Macaca fascicularis: one gene and its partners. The protein of the gene in region 1 interacts with the protein of each later gene in a biochemical or structural test. Links are inferred from orthologs where the notes say so. Each region holds a gene or a part of one and is shown in the gene's direction. Other genes may lie near its edges. The genes, in order: REPS2, EPN1 and GRB2.

Region 1 (4,302 bases):
GGCCAGGCTGATCTCGAACTCCTGGACTCAGGTGATCTGCCTGCCTTGGCCTTCCAAAGTGCTGGGATTACGGGCATGAGCCACCGCACCCGGCCTGGACTTTCTTTTAAAAGTGGCTAGAGGGCTCAAGTGGCTCAAGCCTGTAATCCCAGCACTTTGGGAGGCCGAGGTGGGGGGTGTGTGGATCACCTGAGGTCAGGAGTTCGAGACCAGCCTAACAAACATGGTGAAACCCCGTCTCTACTAAAAATACAAAAACTAGCCAGTCATGGTGGCAGGCACCTGTAATTCCAGCTACTCGGGAGGCTGAGACAGAATAATTGCTTGAACCCGGGAGGTGGAGGTTGCAGTGAGCCAAGACTGTGCCATTGAACTATAGCCTGGGCAACAAGACTGAAACTCCATCTCAAAAAAAAAAAAAAAAAAGGCTAGAGTACTAGCCAGGGGGAAGCAAGCACATTTGAAAAATACAGTGTGTATGCTTTAGGATAGGGAGGAATGGAGAGAGAGGAGGACATGGACAGGGATGGAAAGATGTGGGTTCTCGCATTGATTTTTGGCGTGAGCTTGAAAAAGTTTTGTACTTAAAAAAAAATTCCTGTTTTACTACCAAAATAAGTGCTTCCTGTGGAGAGTGAGGATCCTCTGTTACTGAGGTTTGTATTTTCAGGCCCTAGCATATAAATCTGCTACATACGAGATATTCAACTAGTTTTGAAGGAATGAAGGTGAACATGGCAGTTTCCTCATATGTAAAAGCAGGATTTGGACAAAATGATCTGCAAAATGGGTCTTTTACTACTCTAGTATTTACGAGTAACCGATGTTATTCCTTATGAAGTCTCAACTCCTGGTTTGAGCCATGTCTGAAGAGGTGGCCTAACTCCAATACCCACTGAACAGTTTGGCGTCAGTGGGACCCTGTTTGTACAGACGTCTGTGTCTTCCAGCTGTTTAGGACATAAGCACTACTGCTATGGAAGAAAGGAAACCTAATTTCCCATGCCTTGTCCGTTTTCTGGAAAGGGCATGGCGTGGTGTGGGCACCACACTTGCCCCAGCCTTCTGGCGAAAAAACACCACGACCTTCCCCGCTCCCCGAAAAGAGCTTTTCTCCAGTTGGGTCTAGATGCGCCCTTCCCAACCAGGGCGGATGGCCAAAGACTCCGCTCCCTTGCAGGGTAGGCTTGGAAAGGCACGGGGCTCGCCTTCCTGGGCAGCGGAGCAGGTGACGCGCGGAGGGCAGGCAGCGCGCTGGGTTAGTTACCTGGCGCTGGGCGGGGCAGGCGGGAGGCGGGGGCGGGGCCGCGGTGAGATATCAGGCTGTGATTGGGCCGCTCCGCGCCTGTCTCCATGTGCCGCGCAGCTGAGGCACAACATTCAAGCCCGGGGGCGGGGCCGGCGCGCGCCGGGAGGAAGCGGCCGCGCGGCAGCTGCGGGGCGTGGGGGTGGCGGCGGCGTCGGCTGAGGCCGAGGAGCCGGTGGCTGTGGCGGACGCAGCGGCACCCCAGCTAGGGACAGGGCTCCGCCGCGCCCCCTTGCTGGTCCCATGGAGGCGGCAGCGGCGGCGGCGGCGGGTGGGGGCTGTGGCTCCGGGCCGCCACCGCTGCTGCTGAGCGAGGGCGAGCAGCAGTGCTACTCCGAGCTCTTCGCGCGCTGTGCCGGCGCCGCGGGCGGGGGCCCCGGGTCTGGGCCTCCCGAGGCCGCCAGAGTCGCCCCCGGCACGGCCACTGCAGCCGCCGGCCCAGTGGCTGACCTGTTTCGGGCGTCGCAGCTGCCAGCCGAGACGCTGCACCAGGTGGGTCCCTCCGCCTCTTGTCCCTGCGGGTCTGTGGGGCAGTGTCTGCGGGGGCGGAGGTTGCGAGTGGGGCGACAGGGCTGCCCCCAGGGACCCGGAGGCCTCGGCCAGTTGTCAGAGAACTCTGCAGCCGGGGATAGCGGCGACGCCCTTGTACCCGGGGGACACCAGCCTCCTCCGCAGCTCAGCTCCTCGCCCAGTCAGTGCTGGGTGCGCGCTCCCCATCTTCCTTCCCTGAGACTGTCTGACATTCCCTCCCCTCCCCCGGCCATTTCTGGGGTTCTGCAGCCGCCCAGACCCAAAGTTTGCCCTGTTCTGGAAGTGGTGTTTGTTTTGGCTGCTGCCTGGTTTAACCTCTGCTCGCTGCTCCTGCCCCTCCCTCTCCTGAGTGGGCTGTCAGGGTGCCTTGCTGGGATTTGAACCTGAGGGGTGTGTGTGTCTGTAGGGTTGGAGGCCCAGGGCTGAATGTTGTCCTCTGTATGTAGTTGTGATATATACGTATCTACAATATGTAATTGCCCATAACATATTTCTAAATATTAATATTAAATCAAAAACCTTAATGACAAGTTGCAGAACAGGGACACGGGACTGCAAGAGGACGTTTGTCAAGTCAAAACCAAATTTCCCATTTGAGGCTAGAGGTGGACTTCAGAAGTCCACCATGGGAAACAGCTGTAGTTTCCCATCTATCATTACTTGGACTTGAAATAGAATTGAAAGGTAAGGGGTGTCATAGCTACCACCTTTTGACTGTTCTATACTTGGAAAAGGACTAGGGGATGATACATACCAGACGCTGTGTTTGTTTTGTGCTTTCCTTGGAGCTTGGAGAAAGACTAATTGATAAGCCTTTGTCTGTCATTTCATGTCACCAGCACTTCATGGTGATAAGATTGTTAATATCAGGTTCAAAACGTCAAATGAAGCTTTCCTTAAAAGCAATAGTATGAATGTTATTAACACCAATGGAATATTTAGAGTGGTGAGTGGTATTTTAAAATCTAGTTTCAAAGGAGAACTGAGGGTTTTATGGTTCACTTGCAATGTCATTGTGTTCATACGTATTTTTAAAGAAATTACTTAAGACTGCGTTTTATATTGCTAGAGTGTTTGTACTGCCCTGTGTTTGTGAGCGTAACTTTAAACACTTTGTAATCTTTCACCCTTTTGAATTTGGGATTTCTGAAAATATAATTAGTATTCACAGAACTTAGCATGGCTGTTTGTCCCTAAAAAAGTCCTTGATATACAGACAGTTCTGCCATTGCTGACGAGTAGTTGAGCTGGATCAGGTAAAGAGAAAATCAGTGTCTTAAAACACAAACCATGACTATTACTTGAGGCCCTCAGAATACTCCCGAGCATAACACATTTATTCAATGCTGTAACTGCTTCCCAGCTGAAAGAGGAATAATTGACTGAGGCTATGCAGCAAGTAAGTGACAGCTGGGTACCTATTAAGGCTTATTTTGTTGTCAGTAATGCATCGGATAAGAGGAGGTGGGCATAGTAAATCTGAATATGTTGGTCGATGCCTCCTTAGGAACTGGGAAGAAGGATTTCCTGATGTTAGAACCCATGCTTTCTTGAGGTACATATGGTTTTAAAAGGACCCAAGGCACAGTGCCTGTGCGTGAATGAGATTATATTTTTGATGTCCAGTTGAAATCTGCTTGCAAAAGACTGCTTCAGATACTGGCCAAAGGGGACATCCCTACAGTATTGCTTGGAGTAAATCTCTCAGAGCTTGAAGCTCCCTTATTCAGCCTAGCAAAGCAAAACACATCATCCCCCTTCAATCCAACAAAATTACCATAACTCATTATTCTTGGTACAGGTGAAAATGAACACTGAAGGCATCCCGGACATGTAATCCTAAGAGAGTCAAACAAAGTCAGCAACCAGCAGACCCCTAATTTTCACCCATCACTTTGGTGGTGGTGGTGGTGTGTGTATGCTCCATCCACTTTAATTTGTATTACCCCATCGGTGTATTAGCCATTCTTTAAAACAAACATAGATGTTTTTATCCTTTCCCTGTTAAACAGGAACCTGTAAGTTGAGATTTAAGTGCCCCGACAGGTATAACTGCTCAAATCTTGGAGGCACTAACCAGCCCTGGTATTTTCTATGGTAACAACCAGGTTTTCCTCTTAATAAGCGTACAATTAAGATTACCATAATAATGTTCCAGGAAGAATGAGAATCTTGCAGTCTTACCACAAGTAAATGGTCTATAAAAATATTTATTTATTATTTATTTATTTTTTGAGATGGAGTCTCATTCTTTTGCCCAGGCTGGAGTGCGGTGATGTGATCTCAGCTCACTGCAACCTCCGCCTCCCCGGTTCAAGCGATTCTTCTGCCTCAGCCTCCCGAGTAGCTGGGACTACAGGCGCATGCCACCACGCCTGGCTAATTTTTACATTTTTGGTAGAGACAGCCGTTTGCCGTGTTGGCCAGGCTAGTCTCGAACTCCTGACTTCAGGTGATCCATCCAC
Region 2 (3,644 bases), on another chromosome or scaffold:
TTGGGGTGAGTGGACATCCCTGGGCGAGGAAGAAGGAAGAGCGCATGGGCAGGATGGAGTGCCTGCGGATGTGCTACCAGTGTTTACAGGGCGTCAGTTCCCTAGATGACTGCATGGAGCCCCATTTGACGGAAGAGAAAGCAAAGCTGAGGTGCAGGAGATGGCAGCCCACCCACTGTGGCCTGGCCAGGAACTAGCTGAGCCAGGGTGTGGGGCTGCGATGTGCCACTGCATATACTCTGCCTCACTGAGCAGGGGCCCCAGCAGGAAGGAGGCAGCCTGTTTGAGGAACTGAAACATGGATGGGGTTACTTTGAGACCTAGAGGTTAACAAGGGACAGAGCCTTCTGGGCCACAGTTAGGAACTCATCTTTGACCCTGAGGGCTCTGGGCAACCCATGTCCCACTTGTGTTTCCAGAGGTCCTGTTCCCTTCTCAGATGCGGTGACCTGCCAGCGCCTGCTGCAGCCTTCGTCCAGGAGTCACCCCGTCTCTCCACGCATCAGGGGCCCTGTGCCCCTTGCTGCTGCAGCCGGGCACCATGTCGACCTCGTCCTTGAGGCGCCAGATGAAGAACATTGTCCACAACTACTCAGAGGCGGAGATCAAGGTTCGAGAGGCCACGAGCAATGACCCCTGGGGTCCGTCCAGCTCCCTCATGTCAGAGATTGCTGACCTCACCTACAACGTCGTCGCCTTCTCGGAGATCATGAGCATGATCTGGAAGCGGCTCAATGACCATGGCAAGAACTGGCGGCACGTCTACAAGGTCAGCGTCCCGCTCTCCTCCCCAGGCAGGTGCAGGGGCTCAGGCGGGAGGGCAGGAGCCCGTGTTGTGCACCCTGCCTGGGATGGCATCCCGGTTCTCAAGAGGAGCTGTAGAAGAGTAAAATCTCTCTTTTTGTTTAATGAAGGCAACGAATGTAAGGCTAAGAAGTTTGGAGCCTAGTGGTTAAAATCTGTTTTTTGAGTGAGTGGTGCATTCGTAAGATTCATATGCTCAGGAGGCCCGAAAGGGCCCACAGTGCCCATCTCTTCTGTGTGCCCAGATACCCAGTTCCTTTCCTCACAGCAGCCAAGTTTCTGCTCTGGGCCCCGTCTGTGAACGCCCCTCAGGCAGGTGTGTGCTCCCCGTGGCACAGGCGATGCCACGCTGGGGATGAACACTGGAACAGTGTCGTGTTCTCACACTGCTTGTCAGACTCAAAAGCCTGCATACTGTTTGCTGGCATCAGTCCGACAGTGGGAGAGACGGGACCATAGGGATGGAATGCAGAGGGCAGGTTGGTGCTCGCCGGGAGTTGGACGGGAGGGGTCACCTACAGAGGGCAGCACAAGGACATTTCGGGGGCAGCGGGACTGTTCTGTGCCTTGAGTGCCGTGGTGGCTTCATGTCCTGTGCATTTGTCAGAACTCAGACTGATGTTAAAATGAGCGAGTCTTACCATATGTATATTAGACCCCAATTTAAAAAAGGAAAAGGAGATTTTATCTTTACATTGCCTATCGGGATGTAAAAGATTTGCTGCTTTTTTTTTTCTTTTACAACTGCAGAACTTTCAACTCTATGGATTGGTCATAATTTATTTAACTAGTGACTTGTTGATGGATTTTTTTGAAAAGGGTTTTGCAGTGTTTTAAGAATGAGATTGCCGTGAATATCCTTGTACCTTTGCTGTTTTCTAGAACTGGAGTTGCCGAGTCAAGAGGCTCGTGCATGTGTAATTTTGGCAAATGTGGCCAAAGTGCCCTCCATGGATGTGGCCTAGTTGCTGGCCCTGATCCACTGACCACACACGCAGATCGCAGGTTTTGGGTCAAAGGGCTCGCACCTGTGAGCAGGACTCAGCGAGTGGGTTTTCAGTTTGCTGTTCGTGGGGTCCAGGGGCCTTAGCATCCCCACCTTTGGTCTTTGGTTACTGTGTTCCTCGTGTTACGGCAAAGCGGCCAAGGACGTGGGCTGGGCCGGGTTACTCTCCCGGTGGTGGGATCTCGGGCTCATCCCTGAATCTCCCTCTGTGAGGGCCCATGGAGTTGATTCACGTCTGACTCGGGTTAGGGGCTGGTGAATGTTAGACAGCTGCTGTTGCGGTCCATTGGCAAGCATCTGCAGAGGGCCCGCTCTGGGTGTCTTGGTGCACCAGACCTGCAAGCCTCCACCCTCGTGCACTTAAACCTGGGCCTTTTCTGGGCGAGGTCCCTGTCCTTGCTGATTTTGGAGACTTCTGCCCAGGTGAGGGCAGTTCCCTCCACTCACAGATGAGGCTGAGGCTGGGAGCGCTGCACCACTTCCACGTGGGAGCAGGGGCTGAGGCCTATTTCCTGTGACTGGTTTTCATGCCCAGCCCGACACACCAAGATTGGGTTGAGTCATAGGTTGAATCAGTTATTGGTCATTTATTGTGAAGGGCTGGGAGGCGTTTGTTTAGTTGAGGATCTTGGAAAAGCCTGGGGGTGCAGGGGAGCCTCTGTGGAGGCAAGGAGGAGGGGCGGGGCTGGAGGGGCAGGTGGGGCTGGAGGGGTGGGTGTGCAGAGGTGATGAATCCAGAGGGGCCCTAGACGCGGATCCTTCCTGGCTAGTGGCCAGAGTGATGCTGCTGGGGGCAGAGACAGAGTGGCCTGTGGGCAGGGCTGGCAGGTGCCAAGGCCTGAGAGTCTGCTAGGGAGCATGCGGTGCTGGTGGCCGGGGTGGACGGCAGGGCAGGGCAGGAGAGGGATATGGCCTTCAGTGCCAGGCCGGGGCTTGGGGTGCTTCCTACAGGAGGTGGGAGAGCCTCCATGGAGAAGCAACTTGATTGTTTTTGTGCATGCCGCACTTTTGTCCTGAGGTTGGTTACCTGTGGGCAGCCTCTTGCTGGACGGTGCTGGGGACCCAGCCCTGATCAAACCCGACCCCCACCCTCAGGCAGCTCCCAGGTCGGTGGGAGTTGAGCCGATAGGCTGGCGGGTGCCATGAAGGAGGGAACACAGCACAAGGCTCTGCGGGCCTCAGGCAGTCAGGGCAGACTTCCTGGAGGAGGCAGCCAGCCAGTCACAGGTCTTACCCAGCCTTTCTTGCCTGGTTCTTTCTAATAACTTTGTAAAGGTGGGTTTACTGAGGTATAATTTGCACACAGTAAAACCCAGCCTTTCAAGATAGAGTTTTCTGGGTTCTGACAGATGCACGTGTTTCATAACTGTCATCACAGCCAAGGCATAGGTTTTTGTCACCCTCAAGACCTCCCCTGTGGTTTTCGTAGCCCCTCTGACACCCTCCCCAGGCCTGGCTGTTCTTGCTGTGTTCACCATCCTCACAGCATCTCTTGATTCTTGAGACTGTCCTTTCTATGCTCCCCACAGCAGAGTCTGGGCGCCGGCCTTTCTCTTTGAGCTTGGGGATCCCCAGCCCATGTGGCTGAGGACGTGGGGTTCCTGCTCCACCCTGAACTGCTGATTCCTCACACTGAGGGTGGGGTTCAGCCTCAGTACCCCCGGGGAGGGTTGATGGTGTCTGTGGAAACCTGCTTTGGTTGCCGCTTGTGCTGCCTGCTGGACGCTGTCCTGAGAGCAGCTTTGTGAGGTCAGCACGTGTCACTGTTGTCCCTGCTGTGGCATGTGCTGATAGCTGAGCATAGGCACAGGGCAGGGGTCCAGGAGGGGTCCCT
Region 3 (3,644 bases), on another chromosome or scaffold:
GTGTGTCCTTTCATTCAGAGACCTTTTCCCCGTGAGTGGATCTAAAATTCCTGAATGGAAAACATGACTTGGAACTATTCGCAGTTACGAGAGAATTGTTGAAAGTATTTCCAGCCCTCCTCACCTTCTTCCTGCATATAACATTTTAATTATTTTTTTATTCAAAGGAAGTTAAGTCACACTTCTTTGTCTTAAGTAAGGCTGTTTTATTTGTTAGGGTTCAGGGCACATGGACTGTTTTTTTCTTTTTTTTTGAGACAGAGTTTCACTCTTGTTACCCAGGCTGGAGTGCAGTGGCGCAATCTCAGCTCACTGCAACCTCCGCCTCCTGGGTTCAAGTGATTCTCCTGCCTTGGTGTCCCGAGTAGCCGGGATTACAGGCATGCACCACCACGCCCAGCTACTTTTGTATTTTTAGTAGAGATGGGGTTTCTCCATGTTGATCAGGCTGGTCTCGAAATCCCAACCTCAAGTGATCTGCCCGCCTTGGCCTCCAAAGTGTTGGGATTACAGGTGTGAGCCACCGTGCCCAGCCTGGACTCTTTATCTTACAAACATCTTCAGAATGAGAGTGACTGATGGCCTGTCCCTGTTTGGTTTCTTCATGTTGTCCTGGTGCCCATCAGTCATAGGGAGGGGTCTGTTCCAGGGACACGCAGTGAGGAAGCTTGTTACTCTGCAGTCCCTGAGGAGTGCTGCCGGGACAGTGGTTCTCTCAGGATATCGCTTATATGGGCAGATAGCCTTCGATTTGCCAGGTTAGAGCCTTTAGCCGGTCCATGTGCTCTCTGTCCCTCCCAGGTTTGGAAACGATGTGCAGCACTTCAAGGTGCTCCGAGACGGAGCCGGCAAGTACTTCCTCTGGGTGGTGAAGTTCAATTCTTTGAATGAGCTGGTGGATTATCACAGATCTACATCTGTCTCCAGAAACCAGCAGATATTCCTGCGGGACATAGAACAGGTGCCACAGGTAAGCCTCATCAGGGTGAGATGGGATCATTTTAGAAATTAAGAATAGCTCCTCAGTGTGCATTCCTGTGGGAAGGGGGAGGTGACCCTCAATCAACATGCAGGCGCCCTTCAGGGATTGCCACTGGGGCTTCTGTGCTCGTTACTGAACACGTTACCTTCCATTCACACTAAAAATTTCTTGTTTCTGGCCCAGCGTAGTAGCTCATGCCAGTAATCCCAGCACTTTGGGAGGCTGAGGCAGGCAGATCACTTGAGGTCAGGAGCTTGAGACCAGCCTGGCCAACATGGTGAAACCCTGTCTCTACTAAAAATACAGAAATTAGCCAGATGTGGTGGCGCCCACCTGCGCTTGGGAAGCTGAGATGGAAAAATCGCTTGAACCCAGGAGGTGGAGGTCACAGTGAGCTGAGATTGTACCACCGCACTCCAACCTGGGTGACAGAGGGAGACTCCATCTCAAAAAAAAAAAGAAAAAGAAAAAGAAAGATTTGTTGTTTTAAATATAGGATTTTTGCTTTTCCAGAGGCAGTGTGTAGCCAGCTTGCCAGTCTCTCTAGGGAGATGGTCTTTAACACACCCACCCAAAGATCCTGTCCCTGGAGGCAAATTATGAGGAAAACTATGCTTGTGAGGGAGTGAGGTCGGCACCGTTCCTGTCCCTCGAGCCCTGGTCATAAGTTACAGTTAGAGTCCCTTATGTTATGCGAGCTCCAGAATTTTAGGCTCTAATATCTTAAGGGTGTGGTAGAAGGGATTTGCAGATTCTGGGCCCACAGCCTAAACACAGACGGCTGTTTCTGAAGAACTTTCCCCTCCAAGCACTGCCTGCCCTCTACTTGATAATATGGCACAGTTGGCCACCCTCCTCTGGGAGACATACTCTAGCATTTTCTGAGCACTGGGAAAGATCACACTAAACCCGCTTGGCCTGTAAACTTAGAAGAGGTAAGAATAAATGGGGGGTTGGGAGATGGGAGGTGAGTTTAGAAAACATGGAGAATTTGGCACGCATTCGTTTCCCCCTGGAACCCGTCTGGCCTCGGAGGTGGCCGGCCACAGACCAGGAATGCAATATGGGTTTTTCCTGCTCCTGTTTTGCAGCAGCCGACATACGTCCAGGCCCTCTTTGACTTTGATCCTCAGGAGGATGGAGAGCTGGGCTTCCGCCGGGGAGATTTTATCCATGTCATGGATAACTCAGACCCCAACTGGTGGAAAGGAGCTTGCCACGGGCAGACCGGCATGTTTCCCCGCAATTACGTCACCCCCGTGAACCGGAACGTCTAAGAATCAAGAAGCAATTATTTAAAGAAAGTGAAAAATGTAAAACACATACAAAAGAATTAAACCCACAAGCTGCCACTAACAGCAGCCTGTGAGGGAGTGCAGAACACCTGGCCGGGTCACCCTGTGACCCTCTCACTTTGGTTGGAACTTTAGGGGGTGGGAGGGGGTGTTGGATTTAAAAATGCCAAAACTTACCTATAAATTAAGAAGAGTTTTTATTACAAATTTTCACTGCTGCTCCTCTTTCCCCTCCTTTGCCCTTTTTTTCATCCTTTTTTCTCTTCTGTCCATCAGTGCATGACGTTTAAGGCCACGTATAGTCCTAGCTGACGCCAATAATAAAAGACAAGAAACCAAGTGGGCTGGTATTCTCTCTATGCAAAATGTCTGTTTTAGTTGGAATGACTGAAAGAAGAACCACTCTTTCTGTGTTCTTCGTATATACACACAAAAAGGAGCGGGCAGGGCAGCTCGACACCTTTGCTGTTTAACTTCCTCCAGAGGAGGGGGCTTGTAGGAATCTGCCTTCCAGCCCAGACCCCCAGTGTATTTTGTCCAAGTTGGCAGTAGAGTGGGGTAGAAGGAAAGCATGTCGCTGCCTCCATGGCTTCCCTAGAAAGCCTGCCTGGGCCGGGCAGCGTGGTGGCTCACGCCTGTAATCCCAGCACTTTGGGAGGCCAAGGTGGGTGGATCACAAAGTCAGGAGTTCGAGACCAACCTAGCCAACATGGCAAAACCCTGTCTGTACTAAAAATACAAAAATTAGCTGGGTGTGGTGGCATGCGCCTGTAATCCCAGCTACTCGGGAGCCTGAGGCAGGAGAATCACTTGAACCTGGGAGGTGGAGGTTGCAGTGAGCCGAGACCATGCCATTGTACTCCAGCCTGGGTGACAGAGCGAGGCTCCATCTCAAAAAAAAAAAAAAAAAGCCCTCCCAACAGCCTGTCTCTTTCCACTTTGTTGGCCCTTCCAGTGGGATTATCGAGCATGTTGTTTTTTCATAGTGCCTTTTTCCTTATTTCGAGGGTTGCTTCTGAGTGGTGGTGTTTTTTGTTTTTGTTTTTGTTTTTAATTTGTTTTGTTTTAAAATAAGTTAAAGACAGTCCAGAGCTTTTCAGCCAATTTGTCTCCTACTCTGTGTAAATATTTTTCCCTTGGGGCAGGGTAGAGCAAGGGAGACAAGCAGGAGTACAAGGTGAAGCATTCTCCTGCTTGTACTAAGCCAGGAGGCTTTAAGCTCCAGCTTTAAGGTGTGTGAGCCCCTTGGGGGTTCAGGGAACTGCTTGTCCAGGTTGCAGTGTGAGTGTGACGGGCCACCGGGGCAAGAGGGAAGGTGACCACCCAGCTCTCCCACATCCCACTGGATCTGGCTTACAGGGGGTTGG

What was found.
Region 2: the proteins of REPS2 (region 1) and EPN1 form a complex in vitro, tested with the Homo sapiens proteins (3 studies listed by BioGRID and IntAct, with this or other methods). The link is inferred for Macaca fascicularis from reciprocal best matches to the Homo sapiens genes REPS2 and EPN1.
Region 3: the proteins of REPS2 (region 1) and GRB2 form a complex in vitro, tested with the Homo sapiens proteins (2 studies listed by BioGRID and IntAct, with this or other methods). The link is inferred for Macaca fascicularis from reciprocal best matches to the Homo sapiens genes REPS2 and GRB2.

Annotation. Positions count from the first base shown.
Region 1 is NC_088395.1:16,755,988-16,760,289, forward strand, and holds the start of REPS2 (ralBP1-associated Eps domain-containing protein 2), read left to right. Parts: upstream 1-1,435; 5' UTR 1,436-1,549; coding exon 1,550-1,798; intron 1,799-4,302. UniProt on the Homo sapiens protein: Involved in ligand-dependent receptor mediated endocytosis of the EGF and insulin receptors as part of the Ral signaling pathway. By controlling growth factor receptors endocytosis may regulate cell survival.
Region 2 is NC_088393.1:63,633,540-63,637,183, forward strand, and holds part of EPN1 (epsin-1), read left to right. Parts: intron 1-419; 5' UTR 420-541; coding exon 542-769; intron 770-3,644. UniProt on the Homo sapiens protein: Binds to membranes enriched in phosphatidylinositol 4,5-bisphosphate (PtdIns(4,5)P2). Modifies membrane curvature and facilitates the formation of clathrin-coated invaginations. Regulates receptor-mediated endocytosis.
Region 3 is NC_088390.1:81,722,622-81,726,265, reverse strand, and holds part of GRB2 (growth factor receptor-bound protein 2), read left to right. Parts: intron 1-801; coding exon 802-970; intron 971-2,073; coding exon 2,074-2,259; 3' UTR 2,260-3,644. UniProt on the Homo sapiens protein: Non-enzymatic adapter protein that plays a pivotal role in precisely regulated signaling cascades from cell surface receptors to cellular responses, including signaling transduction and gene expression.